2 linked regions of the Arabidopsis thaliana genome follow. The protein of the gene in region 1 purifies or fractionates together with the protein of each later gene. This does not show direct contact. Each region holds a gene or a part of one and is shown in the gene's direction. Other genes may lie near its edges.

Evidence for each region.
Region 2: the proteins of AT1G27100 (region 1) and SUMO3 purify together in Arabidopsis thaliana (affinity purification with western blotting, with the first as the bait; one study listed by BioGRID). This does not show direct contact.

Annotation. Positions count from the first base shown.
Region 1 is NC_003070.9:9,404,075-9,415,455, reverse strand, and holds AT1G27100 (Actin cross-linking protein), read left to right. Parts: upstream 1-4,087; 5' UTR 4,088-4,381; coding exon 4,382-5,005; intron 5,006-6,861; coding exon 6,862-7,512; intron 7,513-7,614; coding exon 7,615-7,899; 3' UTR 7,900-8,371; downstream 8,372-11,381. Other genes in the region: AT1G27110 (Tetratricopeptide repeat (TPR)-like superfamily protein), read left to right, coding at 1-72, 217-315, 431-532, 653-796, 886-980, 1,076-1,205, 1,292-1,399, 1,488-1,594 and 5 more; AT1G27090 (glycine-rich protein), read left to right, coding at 9,358-10,027, 10,114-10,274, 10,901-10,975, 11,059-11,381.
Region 2 is NC_003076.8:22,384,157-22,392,229, reverse strand, and holds SUMO3 (small ubiquitin-like modifier 3), read left to right. Parts: upstream 1-6,024; 5' UTR 6,025-6,158; coding exon 6,159-6,233; intron 6,234-6,410; coding exon 6,411-6,560; coding exon of another isoform or gene 6,561-6,651; coding exon 6,652-6,762; 3' UTR 6,763-6,973; downstream 6,974-8,073. Other genes in the region: AT5G55180 (O-Glycosyl hydrolases family 17 protein), read right to left, coding at 1,669-1,714, 1,961-3,245, 3,330-3,396; SUMO2 (small ubiquitin-like modifier 2), read left to right, coding at 7,458-7,529, 8,040-8,073. UniProt on the Arabidopsis thaliana protein: Ubiquitin-like protein which can be covalently attached to target lysines as a monomer. Does not seem to be involved in protein degradation and may function as an antagonist of ubiquitin in the degradation process.

The DNA of each region.
Region 1 (11,381 bases):
GCTGCTCATTACCTTAGCTCTTTTGACCCTGTTAGAGCCAGATCATATGCTCTAGCTGCAGAATCCCGTCTTGTAAGCTCTACCTTGTTATCTCTTTTAGTGTCTATGATTCATTCTAAGTGAAACAAATGATGCTCTGTAGCTATCCCATGTCTATAATCCGTGATACTTTATGAGTTTGGTGTCATTGAGCTCTCTGAAATTCATTGGTTTTAGGGGAAAGCCACACTGTATGAGAAGGCAGTTTTCGAGGCTGTTAGTTACTTACTCTCTGAGAATATGGACGACGATGTGGCTTTGGAGTTACACTCTAAGGTTAGGATATTTCTTGGCTTCTTGTTCTTATTAGTTCTTCTTGCTATAGCTTGATATATCTTTCCTTTGACGCAGTTATTATAACTCTTGTATATAACTCTTTTATGTTTTGCAGCTCTTGAAAAAGTTCCCGAAAGATTTGCTATCTTGGAAGAGAGTAGAGACTCTGTGTTCCTACATGGGTCGACACGATCTCTCTTTGCCTCTTTTCCGGAAGGTATGTAAGATGTTGAAATCAAATTGATGGATACCTCATGACTTATAAATGAAACATGATCTTTGTTATCACTATCTTTGATTAATTGACTTCCCTCACTGAACAACGTAAACTTGGCAGATTCTACCGCAGAATGAAGGCCAAGTTTATGTTAATGGTATGCTTGCATTCTGTTTAATTGAGCTTGGACATTTGAGAGAAGCTGAGGAAGCTGCTAGGAAAGGCTGTGAGATCAACGAAAACGATTCTTGGGCTCATCACGCCGTGAGTTTCCAACACTTATTGTCCCGGTCTTTTGTTGTTACTTGGTAATCCATATACAAAATGTCATTAATAATGTCTCTTTTTGGCAGTTATGTCATGTTCTTCAAACTGAATGTCGTTTTAAAGAAGCAGTAAAGTTCATGGAAGAACACTCAGATTCATGGGATTCTTGCTCATCCTTAAGGTAATAGCATTTACAAACAAGTAAGAACCATCTTCTGATCATCTCTGGAATCACCTGCTAAAGAAAACTAGATAATTTTTGAACATTTTAATTAGGTTTTCGCATAATTGGTGGCACGTAGCTGTTTGTTACTTGGAAGGAGGGTCTCACATAAGTAAGGTAGAAGAAGTATATGATCATCAGATGTGGAAAGAGCTGGAGAAAGACGATGCTGTTGCTAGAGATGTAATTCCCTTATCATTTTTCTTCCCCTTAAAAACTGAACTTCCATTAGCAATCTGATGTTTTATACTTGTACTATTACACATCAGGTTTATACGGATGCTCTTGGTTTGTTGTTGCGTTTAGACACACGCGGTAAACTAGATGATGGGTTTCAGGACAGACTAGAGAAACTGGCAGACTCTTTGACTGATAAAGTAAGTGATGCACTTGTTTGCCCTTGCGTTCATATACATTTATTTTGCTCTTCTTTTAATAACGATTTGTGCAACTTCGAATGTTCAGGCAATGTGGTATCAAGACTGGCTTTTTGATATTACGACAATTTGGGCATTGAGTAAAGTTGAAAAAACTTCACTAGCACATGAATTGCTCGAGGGCCTCAAGTCCCGGTCAGTACTACCGCTTTCTCATTTGTGACATTTTTTCCAAATGGAGAGTTTTGTCTCTTGACTTATCATCTGGCTAATATTATTACTCTAACAGAACATCCGCTATGAACCCGAAGAAACAAAAGCTGATGCAGAAAGCGATTCTGGTCTGTTCTTGCTGATCCTGATTTACAATTATGGAGACTTTTTTGAGTTCTATGTCATATCATAAGAACCGTCTTTTTCTTTCTTTCAAATCAGCTTGCTGAAGCTGTTTATGAATACGGGAAAGGAAACTACGAGATAGCTTTAGAACTGCTTGGATTAGACTTTGACGCTGCTAACTATAAGGTAATGCGATGTTCTTATAAGATATATGTCAAATCAAAACTTATTGAAGAATACACAGCAAATGCTATTGTCTCTTTTGGTGACGATATAGGTGATTGGAGGATCGGGTTTACAGATGGATGTTTTTAATGAAATCTGGTACAAGTTGCTGTTACTCAACGGCAAATCTTCAACTGGTACACTCCTCAAAAACACTATTATATCCATATACTTCGGCTATATCTTCGTTTTCTCAGCTACTAACTCTGCGTTTACAACACCCGAACCTGCAGCTATTGAAGTACTAGAGAAGGTGACCAAACAGAGAGATGGTGCTCCTTTCTTGTGGCGTTTGCTGGTAAGTCATTTATATGACCAGACAAGACAAGTTGATTCATATACGTCTACAGTTTATGAAACGTTGACTTTCTTTTGGCAGGAAGAGAGTTACTCAATGGAAGGCAAGGAAAAAGCTGGTATAAGTGCAGGTAAGAAAGCAAAAGCATTGGAATCTTCATATTTCAAGTCTGCTTGATCGCCAAAACGGCATTTGTCTTGTTGTTTTATAATAAGTCAATGGTTATGGTCAATGCATAAGAATAATAATAATTTTGTTAATATAATTGAAATTTACATTCTATTGACTTTGTATTAGTATTTTATAAAGATGTTTATGAGAAAAAAACTACTAGAAGACCATTAAAATGGATCTTGAAAGCTGTATGTTACAGTTAGATATGTTGTTCAATTGCGACATGGAAACATGTCTAAGGATTAGGGGACGCCCATTTCTGCATTTTTTATATGATTTTTAACATGCAACTTTTTTTTATCTTAATAAAGATATTTTATATTTTAATAATAAAATGACTTAAATCTTAGTCCTATACACGAGATTATTTCAATAACATTCAAAGAAAAATTGAATACCACATTATTGATCTCCAAAATGTCAAGTGACTGTATCGCAAATTCTATATAAATTTTTTCAAAAAGGCTGATAAAATTAATTATTTTTTTCGAACATATATCTTATAATTTACACCAAGCTTCCAACATTAATTTCGTAATTTAATATCTAAAAACTTGTAACTTTTTTTTTTTTAATACTAAGAGGTTCTGAACCGAAACCCGTAAGCTCTCCAGACCCGAAACCACATCCACATCATGTAAATTACATGCATCAGTGTATCACTTAAACAAGAAGTCGTGAAACTTCCATGAATTTATAAGGTTGATCTTATAGTGATTTTCTCATACCATATAAAATACACCAATGACCAGACGTCTAATATGTTTCTGAAATTCACTATAAACAAATTAGTGTTAAGACTTGTAGTTACATGCGTCACCTAAAAACATTGAAATTTCATGAGTTCTCCGGAAAACAAACCAATATATTTATTTGGTGTGGAAGGTACAAATTAAGACCGAGTCTCTCAAAGCCCTACGTCGGCCACATAAGCCAACCAATGGATATAAAAAAATTAAAAACTCAACTATGACATGTTGCCAAAAAATCTGATATCAATACTTTTCGGCTTATCCAGAAAGATAGGAGTCACACGTATATAACAAGGCAATGTGTTGTGTGTATCTAGATCTATTTATATGCAACTGTTTAGAAAATGTACTAATCCTAAATTATTCTACACAAATATTCACAAGTCTACTTCATGACTTTCTTGGTTCTATCTACGGAAAAGAGACAATTCTACACAATAAGCCCACGCGCTCTACATTACCTCTTCATAAATACATTCTTTTCACAACATTTAATATGAAGTTTTATTGTAGTATTCTGATTTCTTCTATGATTATATAATTATTCCATTCAATTATGGAGCTACATATAACATAATTTAACTAGCTGAACTGATCTTTCATCAATATTACATGATCGTCATGGTTTTCATGAATCTATGAGTTTACATTTCCCTCATTAATTTAAATTCTCAAATTTACATTGATAAGATTTGAATTATGGTGCGGATTTATCGACGATAAGGTCCATAGACTCATTACTAGAGGGATCAAAAGACACTTATCAGTTATCACGCACACAGGACTGTAATCACATCCATAAAACCTTATACTATAACCGGATACCGGTTTAAACAAAGAACCAACATTGAACCACAACCTAAGACATTTTCTATCAAAGTCTTCACATCACGTTCTTTACGCGCGTGAGGTAAAATGTTCAACAAGTTACGTAGGTGGAGGAGAACCTTCGTAATACTTTTTCATTAGTCTTTTCTTCATTTGATTTTGCGAAATTTCTAAATAATTGCGAGCTGCATAATCCCTCCGACTATTAACTTACAAAGTACCCTTTTAGCCAGGCTTTTTCTGTCTTATTTTTTTGTCATTAAACTATATAACCAAACACAAACATCATCTTTCTCCTTCATTTCACAAACTTAAAATTCTCTGTTTTTGTTTCTTCTTCTTTCAAAATCTCAAGCAAAAGAAAAAATGGAGCTATTCACAAAAGGTAACAACGTTAAGTTACGTAGCCACCTAGATAAGTTTTTAGTCGCCGACGATGACCAAGAAACCATCCGTCAAAGCCGTAAAGGAGATGCACGGCGTGCCGTTTGGACGGTGGAGCCCGTCGTCGATAAACCTAATCTGATAAGGTTAAAGAGCAGCCACGGCACGTACTTAACGGCGAGCAACAAACCGTTATTGTTAGGTATGACCGGTGAGAAAGTGACTCAAACGGCGTCGTTTAACAAGCTGATGGATTGGCAAACGCAGTGGGAACCGGAGCGAGATGGGTTTCAGGTGAAGCTAAAATCTTGGTGCGGTAAGTGGATGAGGGCTAACGGTGGAACGCCGCCGTGGAGAAACTCTGTTACTCACGATGAGCCTCATACGTCAAAGACAAAGAACTGGTTGATTTGGGATGTTATAACTATTGATGGTTCTGATCTTGAAAACATGTCTGATGGTGATGAAAGCTCTGTTTCTTCTCCGGTCGGGTCTGAATTCGGATCAGAACCCGGGTCACCTGTTTCTGCCAGGTCTACGAAGAGTAGTATTAGCCGGTTTGCTTCTCTTGGTTTATCTACGTCTCCGAGATGGTCCTCAAAACCGGTAAGTTTGACTAAGTCTTTTATTCAGTGTGCATTGATTAGTTTTTCTTAATTTCTGTGTTTAAATTAAGGCTAATATAGAAATTTATTATTGTGAGTTGAACTTAGACAATTCTGTATATAAGAAATTAGTTGGCATGCATGAACATATGGAAAAAAAGATGAGGATTACCCGTATTAGTATCTACAATTTAAAGAAAATTACATGATCTGTATCATTTCTTTTCTCCACTAACATAGATAATGCTCCACAAGCACACACATCGTTTTACCAACCTAATACCACCAAAATGTATAGGATTTTTTAATTGTATAGTTTTGATTAGTTTATCTATTATAATAGACTATAGTTGAAAATATGACACTTAACAATCCAACTTAAGTTTACTTCAATGATTGAAGGATAGTTTTGAAATGCTTGTAGTAGAACCTCTAAAATGTAACTAAGTGACTGTATATTTCTTACAAAAGCTATACCTAAGGATGATTAAAGAAGAAAAATACGATTATTATTCCTTAACAATAAAAACTTGTACCTAATGGCTTAAGATAAACAAATCTAGTGCCAGTTAACATAAGACAAGTGTAACAAAAAGTAAGGTAAAAAAGTTGGTAGTTATGATTTAGTGATGGAGCATATGGTCCAGGGATGCAATTAGGAGAGTCCCACACTCATGAATTTCCTCTCTTGGTCTTTCTTGCGGGCAAGGGTTTATAGATTTATTTTCTAAATATTCGCTTAAATCCTATCTTTTCGATCCATTCTTTTATGGCATAGGGACACTATTATTTTTGGGGAAAAGGGCATATACTTTTATCTTTTTAATTATTTATTTATATTTTTCAATATTTTCCATTTAATATTGATTTGCTTATACCACATAATTGCTTATAATCTAACTGAAAATCACATATTATTCATCAAGAATTACGTCCATTAGTTCCGATTTTGATCTTATCATAGAACTAAATACGTACTGAAAAATTAAAAGATAATGGAAAAAGTATAGAGTAACAATGTAAAATGATACTTTATTGGGAAATTTGGTTACCTATCTCTATCGTAATTTATTCTCTTCATATAGATTATTATATACATAGCAAATAAAAGTTTACCAAATGTATGTACCATACCTTTTATTATTATTTCAAATGAATCTTCAATAGTCAACATTGACTCCTAGTATTATGTTTAAATCTTCTATGAATTGAAGAATCTGAAATAAACATCATGAATGATTGGAAGATATGTAAGAGAAAATTGTTCCAACTGATAAAAGTTTTCACAAAGTCATTGTAGTAATTAATAGATATATAGAAAAATAAAACACAATTTAAGGCCAATTTTTTTCATCTTCTCCTATAAGATTTAACACCAAATTTTTTAAAGAAAAATTCAAAGCATTGATTTTTTTATATATAATCAAATACAAACTTTAGTTACAATCTAAATCCTGCTTTGTTTCTTGAAAATCTGTTTAAATTAACAATAGTTGGTGTCTTGGAATCCTCGTAATTAACTTTAATCTCAAGATTTACAAACATTACAAAGTAACAAAATCCAAAACACGTGAAACAACAACGCGTTACAAGCTCTAACAAATACTAATAAGGAAAGAAATCCAAATCATAAATTTCTGCTGACGTGGATATTAGATACGCGCTCTAATCCAGCTAGCAACGACTTTTCCAGATTTCTTACCTTACCTAGTCCGCGTAACCGTAAAAAACTAAAAAACCCAATTTAGACCAGTCCAGTGTCAGATCCACCACACATATAAAATAACCATATCTCTCACTTCTTCTTCTTCTTCTTCTTATCACTATTCGCTCATTTCCCCTTCTCTGTTGTTACAGAAGTCGACGGCGAGTAGCTTCAACCAAAAAGAAACACCAGTATCTGTCTCAGCAATGGAATTTTTCCAGAAAGCAAAAGCTATTCGAATGCGTAACAGTCACAACAAGTATCTAACAGCAGACGACGATGAAGAAACCGTAACTCAAAACCGTAACGGATCTACCAAAAACGCTCGATGGACCGTCGAACCGGTTCGTGATTCTTTCCATGTTATTCGTCTTAAAAGCTGTTACGGTAAGTACTTAACCGCTTCTAACGAGCGGTTCTTGCTCGGGGCTACGGGGAAGAAAGTGATTCAGTTGAAACTGAGTCGGGTTGATTCGTCTGTTGAGTGGGAACCGCTTAGAGAAGGGTCTAAGATTAAGCTTAGGACTAGATCTGGTAACTATTTACGAGGTAATGGTGGTCTTCCTCCTTGGAGAAACTCGGTCACACACGACGTTCCTCATTTGTCTGCTACTCAGGATTCGATTTCTTGGGATGTTGATGTTGTTGAGATCTTGACTGATTCCGAATTCAAGACGGAGTCTGCGAAAGCGCCGCCACCGAAGACGACGTCTCCACCGCCGCATCGGAGACCGACGAGTTCGCCGTTGTCGGCTGAGTCTCCAAGGACTTCGTCTTCTCTTTCAGACAGATCCGATTCAGATGTGAGTACTTTTCCTAAATTCCTAAAACACCTTTGGTTTTGTTTAAAATTACAGTTGTACCGTTTTCCGGTTATTGAAAATTTTGATTTTGATTTTGACCAGTCGGTTGAGTCTCCGCCTAAATCTGATGGACGAACCATATATTACCATGTCGCTGACGAGGAAGGACACGTGGAAGATGAAACAACCGTTGGATATGCTTTCACGTTTAAAGGAAATAGCGTGGCGGAGCTGACTCAGACATTGCGAGAAGAAACGTGCATGGAAGACGCTGTGGTGTGTACTCGTAGTCCTTTAAACGGCAAGCTGTTTCCTCTTCGTTTGCAACTTCCTCCTAACAACGGAACATTGCATGTCATTTTACTACCCTCCAGCGCGAGCCTCTAGAATCGACCCGAGACAATTAGAAATGAGTGATTGTGTGATTGTTTGGTGAAGCATATGATATGAACCGTATAAGAAGATAGTAAGAGTTGGTAGTTGGTACAAGACTCGTTGTTACATAGATTGAAAAAAGGCGTCGGCACATGAACCTTGCTTAATCTATAGACTATTTGTAAGAGTTTTGATAATAGGAAGGACTTATAAATTATTTTTTGGGGGAATATAATACAAGTTTGTTTTTGTAAATAAGCGATTTCTTTGTAAACGAACATTTGGATTTTGGGGGTTTATTTGTGTGAGCATGGATTCATAAACAAAAATCATTAATTTCTTATAAGTTATTCACTAGTAAATGGAGATTATGACTCGAATGTAGCCAAATTTAGTTTGGATGACGTGAACAACCAAATCAGAATAATCACCTATCTTAATATAGTGATTTAGTGACCAGTAGACGATAGTTGTGACAAGAAATCTTATAAATACTTTGTTGTCACAATTCACGAATGTTAAAGGGGTTAGAAGTTGAAACTATCTCCAAGTTAAAGTATCCATTAAGCTATCGTTAAACATAAAATACAAATCATGAAGCATACGAAGACCTTAATATCAAGTCATATACAGAATGAATATACAAAAAGAGGAATAATTCCTAATGTATACGTACGATACTACGTTGACGAAAAAAAAAAAAAAAACGTACGATACTACGATTGGAGTTTTCTAATTACTTACAGAATATTTAAACAACATTATGTATCTAGAAGGATCTAGAATAAAATTGAATCTAAAGTACACCAAAAAAGTGGAATATTTCCCAATATCCTAACAACTTTGATAATATCTTAATTTCAAACTGTTTTTATTATGTAACAATACCGTATTTCATTTCTTAACTTAAAACTCATTATTTACATGATATTTCAAAAATTACCTATGTACTTGTCATTATATACATGGTATTTCAAAAATTACCTATTTACATATTACCCTTTTAAATGGTATATTTACTAATAAAATTAAGTATTGCATTTAGGAAAAGAGAGTGCCTCTTGATACAATTTTAAAATAATACAAATACCCTATGTCATTCCAAGTAACTAATAATAAATTGACAAATAATTTTTTTATACAAGAAACGTAATCCACAAAAATAATTTGAAAAAATCTACACAAAATAGTTGAAAATAGAACACTCCTATTTATTTATTTTTTTCCTTTTGTTTTGAGACGGATAATTTCACTTGCATTACTGGAATTTTTCATCAATTATTATATATTTAGCTCAAAACTATCACTACCCAAAAACCAGACGCTTCAACTTATCCCCATTTCTCTGAAAACCCTAACAAATCCTCCTCTTGTTCCGCCACTGCCGCCGCCGCTACTCAACGGTGGTGAATTTTCTATACGGTCAGTTCGATCCTCTTTTTATCGACAATCCTACACAAATCCATAATCATGGCCGCCACTGCTTCCTCCGAAGCTTCTGAAGGACCAGTGATGGGTCTCATCAACAAGCGTCTCCGTGCTCTCCGTAAGAAATACAACCGAATCACTCAAATGGAAGAATCGATTTCTCAAGGCAAAACCCTAAACAAGGAGCAAGAAGAAGTCCTCCGCTCTAAACCTGCCGTCGTCATCCTAATCGACGAGCTTGAAAAGATCCGTGCTCCTCTCTCCGCCGCTGTGACAGAGGAAATCAGCCTCGCTACTCAGCTTAACCGTGCTTCATCCGATCAAACCACCGCATCTGAGCAAAAGGAAGTCACTGATATCCCGCAGGAAGTTAGCGGCGGCGATGATGGCGCTAAGTTGGAGGATCTGGTGAATTTCCTCTACTTTGGTTCACTCTTCGACGTCAAGTCACAGAACGAGTTCACTTCGATAATGTTGACCAGGACTCATGAGAGAAGTTGCTGCTTGTCTTACGATTACGTTACCGATGATGCCACTGATCTCCTCGGCGATCGGGATTTGGATTCTATTTCTCAGCTTTGGAGCCTGATGGTTTCTCGTCCGGTGGATTCAAGCTTATCTCACAAGAACGCTTTGGAGCGTTGTGTTGAGCACGCTAAGCTATGGTTAGCTAATTCCGAGCAGCCAATCGAATCAAACTGCAATACTTCATGTAAAATAAAAATTCCTAAATCTGTTTGTCTCTTACATCTCTGTGTTTTAGTTTCTCTGTGTTGATTACTTAGATTTGTGATGCAGATGCTGCATTGAGAGAGAAGTTGAAGAAGATTATGGCGTCTGACTATTTCACCACTACTCCGGAAATGAAAGCTCCGGTTGATGTGGCGGCTGCAGCTGGTAACTATACTTCTTACCAGGTGCCTGTGGACGTGGAGGCTTCAGGGCATTACCAGCAAAAGGTATCCACTTTAGATTAGGTTTTGTTGATTTCCTGAAGTCTCTGACTTTCATCAAATTGGTAGTGAATTTCGCGGACTAGTTGTTCTGATTCATTACATACTATATAGTTCAGGGCTTTGTGGTATGCAAAGCTCTTACTTAATCTGAAGGAGGAAATTAACAATCACATTTCTTTAGTTGTGGTGAGATTGAGCTTAATTTTCAAGGATTCAGAGTTTATTATTGTTTCTCCTATAAAGTAGAAGATGTCTGAAGTTGAATTATGCAGCATTAGAGTGAGATGTGGTATGAGATCATTAGTGAGTTAAGTTGTTTGGATAGGATGGAGAAGTACATTCTTAATTTTTGATATGGCCTGTTGCTTATTTGATTTTTCGACTGTTCTCTTGGTATTTGGAGAACTCTATCCTGGTTAGAATAATCTTTGTGGTGGGTCTACGATATGAGCTGTCAATATATTTTTGTTTATACATGTGATCGATGTTAACAAACTGTGACAATATGTGTCTTCACTGTAGTGAATGTTGACATGTTTCGGTGTGTCTCATTATATGAATTAGAGAACATAAATCCCTCCCATGTGGTCTCTAATGATTTATGTGGGTCTGATATTCCCTGTTTACAGGAAGAAGATGCATCAAATTCCAAAGAAGTAGAATCAGTTGTTAATGATCAATCTCAACAAGATGAGCATCAAAAGGTAATCCAGTGAATTGTAGAGCTCGAATCATCTTTCAATGAGTTACTCAAGGATGAATCTGATGATATTGTTTTGTTGTGAAGGTTGAGTTAGTGACCGAAGGAGAGGTGGTCCATGGACAGCAAGAACAGGGCTATACTCAGGTGGGAGGAGCAGAGAATGCTAAAAGAGACTATGTGCCACGTGGGTCTTACCAGAACCAAAGAGGTCGTCGAGGTGCTCGAAGAGGTGGTGGTGGCTATCAGAATGGGCGAGGAGGACGAGGTGGTGGTGGTGGCTACCAGAATGGGCGGTACGAATCTTATGATCAATCTGGTGGAAACGGTTATCAAAGGAACTACTACAACAACAGAGGAAGGGGACGTGGTGGTGGTGGTGGTGGAGGAAATGGCCATTCATACAACAA
Region 2 (8,073 bases), on another chromosome or scaffold:
GAGAGATAGGTTTTTTTAAACAGAGAGTATAGTGAGCTTAGGAATGACGCAGATACTCAAACCCGGTAATCTAGAATTGGATCCAGGCTCAGATCCGGATCCGGATCCGGATCCGGCCCAAAATGCTCTCCTGAATCCTGATCCATCATAGGCCTCGTCATTGTTATTACTACTACATTTTGAGCAAAATCATCAATAAGATAGAGTTTTATAGGGGAGAGGAGTTGGATTTGAGTTTTTTTTTTTGGTTCAATTGTTTATGAAGAAAATATAAAAGGTGTTAGATTTTATTTCTAAAGAATTTGTCTGTTTTTAATTATTTTTTTGGTAAAATTTAAAGTTTTATACGAAATTTTAGATTTTTTACATAACACGGAGATACAACGAAGAGAAATAAAAGACTGAAAACTACGCAACAATATAATAGAAGGCCACAAAAGAGAATGTAATTAATGAAAGGAACACGCTTTGATGGAAGAAGACACAAGGAAGCCATTGGTGTTGCCAAGAGTTAGCCGCGATGGCGCGATCCAAAGCTAGCCCTCAATATTTCAGAAAGAGCATTGTTTACAGCTTTTCCAATCAAGACTTACAAAAGCATACTCCACGAATGCGACCACCTTTCCATCAAATCACTCCCGCTGGCTAGAAGAAACTCGTGATATGGAAAGAAGGCATGACCAATTGAAAGCCCACTTAATTGGTTTGGAGGAGAAGTTCAAGTTGGTAGTAGTTGAAGAAAAAGCCATAGACTCATAGTCCATCTAAGAATATGTAAGTCTTGGGATGGTAATCAAGTACTGTATATGGTTTTGTTTTTAAAATTTTGAAACCGTGTTTGTACTATGTTTTGGTTAAATTGCCACCGTGTTTTGCGAGTACACTATCTCAATAATGCAAAGGGAAGGAAGTTCGATTAGCAACCACACGATGCTTACAATCCAAAACCTTAAGCTTTTTAAAATGACATAAAAAAGCAGAACATTCTTGCTATTTAAAACGTCTAAACTGACTCATCTAAGATCTTAGATATTTCTGGAGGAGAATACACATTCAGTAATAGAATAATAACAGACTTCACAACTATAAAAGCATTAAAGCTATTCTTGGTTCTGAAGATTCCATATCAAAAGACTTGATGAGTTTTCATGTAGTATAATGTATTCACAGAGCTTTGTGACAAACTATAACTCAAAACCCATTTTTCGAGTTACAGGCTTCTATATGGGAGTTGGTAGTGTAGTCGTAGCTCAATTGATGGTAGGCGCTAATCAAGTTTGATGAAGTAGGCAGCTCAAGGTTTTGACTCTGGAGTATTGGAATGAAACAATATGGACAATATATACTGTTGAGTTTTGCTTGGATCATGATCAGTTGATCACCAGCAAAACGAATCAATTTGAGATTTTGAAAATAATATTGCAATGTTGTTTATTGGATCAGTTGCAGGATATAATGGTTTATATCAACAAAGTTTTGTCAGTTTTATAAACTCACGAGCAAAGAAGTTAAGGCTTAAGGGGGAAAGAAAATCTGACTATTTATCCGATGAAACCAACCAAATATACAATAATAAAAATAAATATACGCAAATCATATACTCGAATGACAAAAGAACAATGTATCAAAATAAATAACGTAAATAAATCCGCACGATCCTCTTCTTCTCTATATCCATTTCAATGCCCTGTTGGAAACTCGCATTTCCCATACTCTACAAACACATAACCAACAAAAAATAATTAATTTAGTTTACGTTTCCGTCTATACGTCACAATTTAATTATAAATCTGTATACGTAAGTGAAGCCCAAAAAAATAACATTTGTTGTTAAACCATCCCAACTCCCATAATTATTATCTAACCATCTTCCAACTATTAAGAACGTGAAAATAACTATACTGTATATGCAAAATACTTACTAATCAAAATAAAATTTTGGAGAGGAAAGATAGGGTACTTACTAGGAGGTTGCGAGACCACGTACGCTGCACCACCAAAATTACACGTGCCAACTCCACGTGCGTTCTTCTGATAGTAACTGTTGAACGCGTAGGAAGCGTGAGCTTCTAACGATTCAGGATTATAACACGTGGCACCCGGTTGAATCGGACGGCAATCAGCACCTCCTTCGCCACAAGCGTAGTCGAGACCTTCCTGAAGCTTCTCCTTCGTCGTTTTACCATTCGCCACACACCACGTCTGTCCCACGAGCGACGGTTTCACCGGAACAACCTTCTCTTTGTTATCGTTGACCGGCGTTGACTTACCGTTGAGCGAAACGTCATACACTTTGTTCTCGTTTGGGTAAAACAACCCGTAGTTTCTCTCAGAAGTCGGACCCGTTTTCTGATTCTCGTTAAACAGAGCGAACAGATAAACGTTTAGTGGCTCCTTCGGTTTTAACGGCGTTCCGTTTCCCGTCAACACTCTTTTAACTAACCCGCCGTTATACGCCGCCGCGTTAGCCGAACCAGCACCAATCTCGTTCTCGTCTCCGGCAGAAGGCCAGCCTGTCTCTGTCACCACAAGCTTAACGTCGTTAAATCCAACGGCGGACATTGCGGCGAAAACGGCGTCGATCTGAGCGTCTAAGAGACTGTTATACTTCAAACCGTTACCGGAATCAACATTCCCGGCGTTCTCCTTAAACAACGCGTAATCCAACGAGATCTTATCGGCGTTAGCTGCGTAAGCAAAGAAAGGATAAGCATTCACCATAAGATGCGACGACGTTTTGCGGAGGAGATCAAGCATCGGTTTAATAACCGGTTCGATTAACTCCGGTTTAAACGAACCAGCCGACGGTGGATACGAACTCGCCAACGCGCTTAAAGCAATCGGCGACGAGATCTTAATGGATTTGTCGAGATTGAACTTGACGAGAGAGCTTTGAACATTCTTCATAGCTGGAACGAGATACGTCGTCGTGTTCCTCGGATCGACGAACACTTCGTTCCCAACGGCGATTGCTTCGATATCCGTCGCTGGAATGTACTTCTTTATGTTGTCCTGAACCCAAGTGTCGGTGTAGCTCTGATCTGCGGCGGCGGAAGCGAGGTTTTCGTTGGGGAGAGAGACAACGACTTTGATTCCGGAGTTCGCGAGTGCGGTTAGTACAGTTGTCTCGGTGTCGTAAAGCTTGATGCGGTTGATTCCTTGTGTTTTCAGTAGCTCAACTACTTTCTCCGGTGCCGGAAGATTGTCTGCTATACGGCCGTAGTTAACTCCGATCATTCCAGAATCTGATAAGAAGACAAAAACAAACAAAGACATCAGAATCCAAACAAACTAAACTCTGTGGAGAGATGATGAAAATGAGAACTAACCTGCATAAGTGAATGGAATGGCTGAGAAGGAAGAGAGTATGAGTAGAGATAAAACGAAGACCGCCATTGTTGTGTATAGAGAGATAAATAGAGAAAGGTTTCAGTTTTTGTATTCCGGTGAAGGAGAAGCTAAAGATGGTGTTTATATAGAGAGACGAAGAAGAAGGAGAACGAGGGAGGTGGATGTAGTGGGTAGGACCCACGTGAGATATTGGGGATGACTTTGTTTTTTTTAACTGTACGGTTTTGTGATGTAAATATTTCAACTCGATGACGTGTCTAAAGTAAATATTATTTTAATTGTGGATTTGACCGTTTCAGTCGTGTACTGATTGGAGATTGTTGTACCAAATGTTGTCAGAGATTGTGGGGGTACGTGCCAAAATTAGCATTCACTTTTAATTAATTAGGGTCGATTTTACTGCAGCTTTTTTCCTTTTTTGGGGGATTTTATTAACGTTATGTTCTGCATAAAATGAATTGTATAACAAAACGAATTTGTTTAGACATACAATTGCATTTGCAACAACACTTTTAATACGTTCCATAATTATTGGGATTTGGGCACTGAGGCAAATAAAACATGTAGTATCAGCTGGTAATAAATACCTATTAATCACTGGTTGAAAACAGCTGCTAATTATCCGTTAAAGTTAGGATTAATAGGTGAAAAAAACTGGTCGGAGGAGTGATAATTATTAATCGATAATGTGATGCATTGATTGGTCGGAATTAGAATTATTATGTAAATTAATGGTAACTGGGTCTCGTCGAGAAATGAAGAATCTACAATGGGGCCATGTGTCATTCATTGTTCTATACATGTACCAAATTTTGAACGTTGAGCTCTCTGATTTCCAACGTCTCTTTTTCGTACGTCCTAAATATTCCGTCCTTTTTATTATTATTTTGAATGGTTGGAGTTATTATGTTAATAATTGTGTTTAGATATGTTTCGATAAATTTGTAAATCCAAGTATAGATTTATATGAAATATTTGATAGTAACATTGACTGATTCACAAGTTGGTTGTAACTAATATTTTGACTTAGCAAATTGGGCTAATGAACGCGTTTAGATGTGCGGAGGAAAAATGAACATTTTAAGGTTAGCTAAGCTAAGCAAACACCTCAAATTATTTTCCAGTAGTATAATAATGAATTAATCTAAATGGTCCATCTCCGTCCATGGATAAACAAAAAACGATATTTGTAGAGTTTAGTTGTCCTATACAAATAGAACTCTATCGCTAAGCAATTAATGTTTCCTTCTGATGTAAAACCAAGAATTTTGGATGACATTTACGGCTAGTTTTACTAATTACTTGGTGAAAGATGCTTTTTAGATTTATTTGAATTTAATAATTGTGGCCGAATATTAACGGTTATGTACATATAGGCATAGAATGTTAATACACATACGGTAATTACTACTACAGTTTGAAATATAGTTTTATCTTCGGTGATTGAGACCTGAATAATGAAACTAATTAAGAGTAGACATCATAATAACTCCACTATCAAAAGAGAAAATAATAGACATCATCATTTGGTAATATTGTATTTGATGATTATATACATGTTTTTGTTTGTGTATCAACTTGTCCACTAGGTGGTAATCTTATATGTATCAATGTATGCTGGTTTACATATACTTTAGTATAACAATTTAATTTTTGGATTATGAAAGTAACAATAATTTAATAATGTATCTATGGAGGTTGTCGACATCGTACGGTATGTTTCGACAAGGCCCTTAAGTCTTAAGTCGGTACATGAAATTGAAAATGAAACACAATGACAAGTCCATATGAAAATTGAAAACATTATAATATCCAGAGAGGTGTGTCACCTTCAGATTGACTTATTTGTAACTATTATGAGTTTATGACGAATTTCTAAATATAAACGTTAACTAATATATTCGTATAAATATAACATCATCATTATTAGTTTCTTATCAACCAAGAGAAAGAATTCAATGTGGTAGGTCACTTGGATGCTGTCCAACAAATTGAGTTTTAGATAGGAATGTTAGCATTGTCCCTGATCTTTACGTTACGATACAATGCCTATTAGTTTATCAAATTAAAAACTGGAAATATATTATGTCGGGCCGAAATAGAAGTCGTCACGAAACATAGACTAACCATTTACACACTATGACGGTCGACGTACATTATTTTTTAATATTAAATAATAACCATGCATGCATTAGAAGTTTAGAACATCAAGAAATATATAAATTTTATAAAGAGAGCTTGCCCTAAACTTTGTCAAATAATATCATAATTTTGAGTTTCTTTTTAAAATACCACAAAAGTTATGTTTGCTAAGATTTTTAAAAGTTTCTAACTGTTGTATTTTTTTTGAAATTATTAGATTACCGTGGTAATTAGATTTTATTTTTAAATATGATTTATAAATTTTCTAAAAACTATTTGGTCGGTTCACGAAAATGGGTTCCAACTTTATATACTGTGTAGAAGTAATTAAGCCCACATATGAGCATATTTGATCTTAAACCAGCCCAATAGCCCATTACGAATGCTTGATTAAACGGCAGTGTTTTCATGTACGAATTCCACGCTCTCCTAGCCGTCGGATGATAAGCTACAATGATTATGAGCCGTTCGATATATCACCACAAGAATCTGTAGATCAAAAGTGAGTGCGATCAAGAACTGGTTTCAGTCACTTTTTTGACAAGTCTCTCTTTCTCAAAAGTCAACCCCTTATTTTGCAATACTGTATTGTGAATCTCTCTATCAGGCCTTCGTATTTCTCACAGACTGGAGTTTTTGTTTCATAAAATCTGATAAAAGGAAAGATGTCTAACCCTCAAGATGACAAGCCCATCGACCAAGAACAAGAAGCTCATGTCATTCTCAAGGTCAAGAGCCAGGTTTTTTCACTGTGTTCCCTCTTTAATCTCCTTGAAATTTTCTGTCGTTGCTGCTTGGTTGATAATACTATATATACAGTTTCTTGATATGAAAACTTTGATGATACTCTTTTCCAAACTGTGATGATCTAAAGTATAGAGTGATTAAAATCTTTTTTCTTGATTGGTGATACTAAGGATGGAGACGAAGTCTTATTTAAGAACAAAAAAAGCGCTCCACTTAAAAAGCTCATGTATGTTTACTGCGACCGCCGAGGTTTGAAATTAGACGCATTCGCTTTCATTTTTAATGGAGCTCGTATAGGTGGCCTGGAGACTCCAGATGAGGCAAATCACTCTCTTTTTCATTTCCCTTTTACAATTTATATGTTTGTCAAAAGTGTATCATTTACTAAACCAAGATTCTCCAATTTTAAAGCTTGATATGGAAGATGGAGATGTGATAGATGCGTGCCGGGCGATGAGTGGTGGTCTACGAGCAAATCAGCGTCAGTGGTCTTATATGCTTTTCGATCATAATGGGCTTTAATTAGGAATAATTTGGCTGGCTTTGTGATATTTGACTACTTTCTTCAAGCAAAATTACTTGAAGTTTAAATCATGGTCGGTTATCGTGTGTGTAAATGACTCATGAGTGATTGGATCTTATGAATTATGATATTAATGGTATCTGGTTACGGATTTTTAGAATCTTTGTACTTTGTTAATTTTACAACCGTGAATAAACAACTCATCAAAACCTCTAAAACTCAAGTTGGCTAATTGTAAAAGGTCACACAACAAAACCATATTAAACAATTGAAATCTTTACTGGTTTGATCAAAATCAAACGGTTCACTTTGAACATCTTCACTTTTCCCAACTCAAACAAATCTACTCGAAAGCTGAGATTTTCACATTTTAAAATTCTTGGGTAGACACAGAAGTAACCAGCCCATTTGAGCCCATTAAGAATGCTAAAACGACATCATTTTAAGTTAGAGATTATACTCACTCACAGCCGTCGAATGATATAGATCAATGATTATGAACCGTTAGATAAACAAGAATCCGATGCGACCAAAGATAGTGGTTTCAGTCTTTTTTATTCTCTGCCGAGTCTCTCTCTCTCCCTCAAACCCTCAAGTTCTGCAATCCCGCGAATCTCTCTTAGGGCTTCGCTTATATCGCAGATCGAAGTTCTTGTTTCCAATCGCCGACCGTATAATCTGATAATAAAGTAAGATGTCTGCTACTCCGGAAGAAGACAAGAAGCCTGACCAAGGAGCTCACATCAATCTCAAAGTCAAGGGACAGGTTTTCTATTTCTCACTCACTCTCTCGACTTCTATTTCTTGCATTGTGTAACGATTCGTTGTCTGGTTAAAGTTTTGAGTGTGATTAGGATCTTTATAGCTTCTGATTGCTTCAATTCTAGGGTTTTGAGTTTGTCTGCGTTATTCCCAATTTCTATTCTGGTTAGCTTGTCTATGAGGTAGTGATTATTGTGTAAGCGTGACTTTTAATTGGCTTAAATTTGAAGCAAACAAAAGTTATCTGAGAATTGTGAATTATGTTTTGACTCATAATTGTAGCAAACAAAACATTACTACTCTTGTATGTGTGAGGGTGTGTATTGGTGGAGACAGTGATTATCTTCGAAGAAATTGTTGTAATGTTGTGAGTTGTGACTAAGCTAACAATTTATAACCTTGAACTCTCACTATAGCCTATTGTAGTTATGCTTTTGGAGTATGGAGCATTTGTTTCATGAAAGCTTTTCGTTGCTATGATTTGTTTTGCTTATGTTTCTGTACCCATTGGTAGGCATTTTTCGTTGTTGGTACTTGGTTGGTTATAG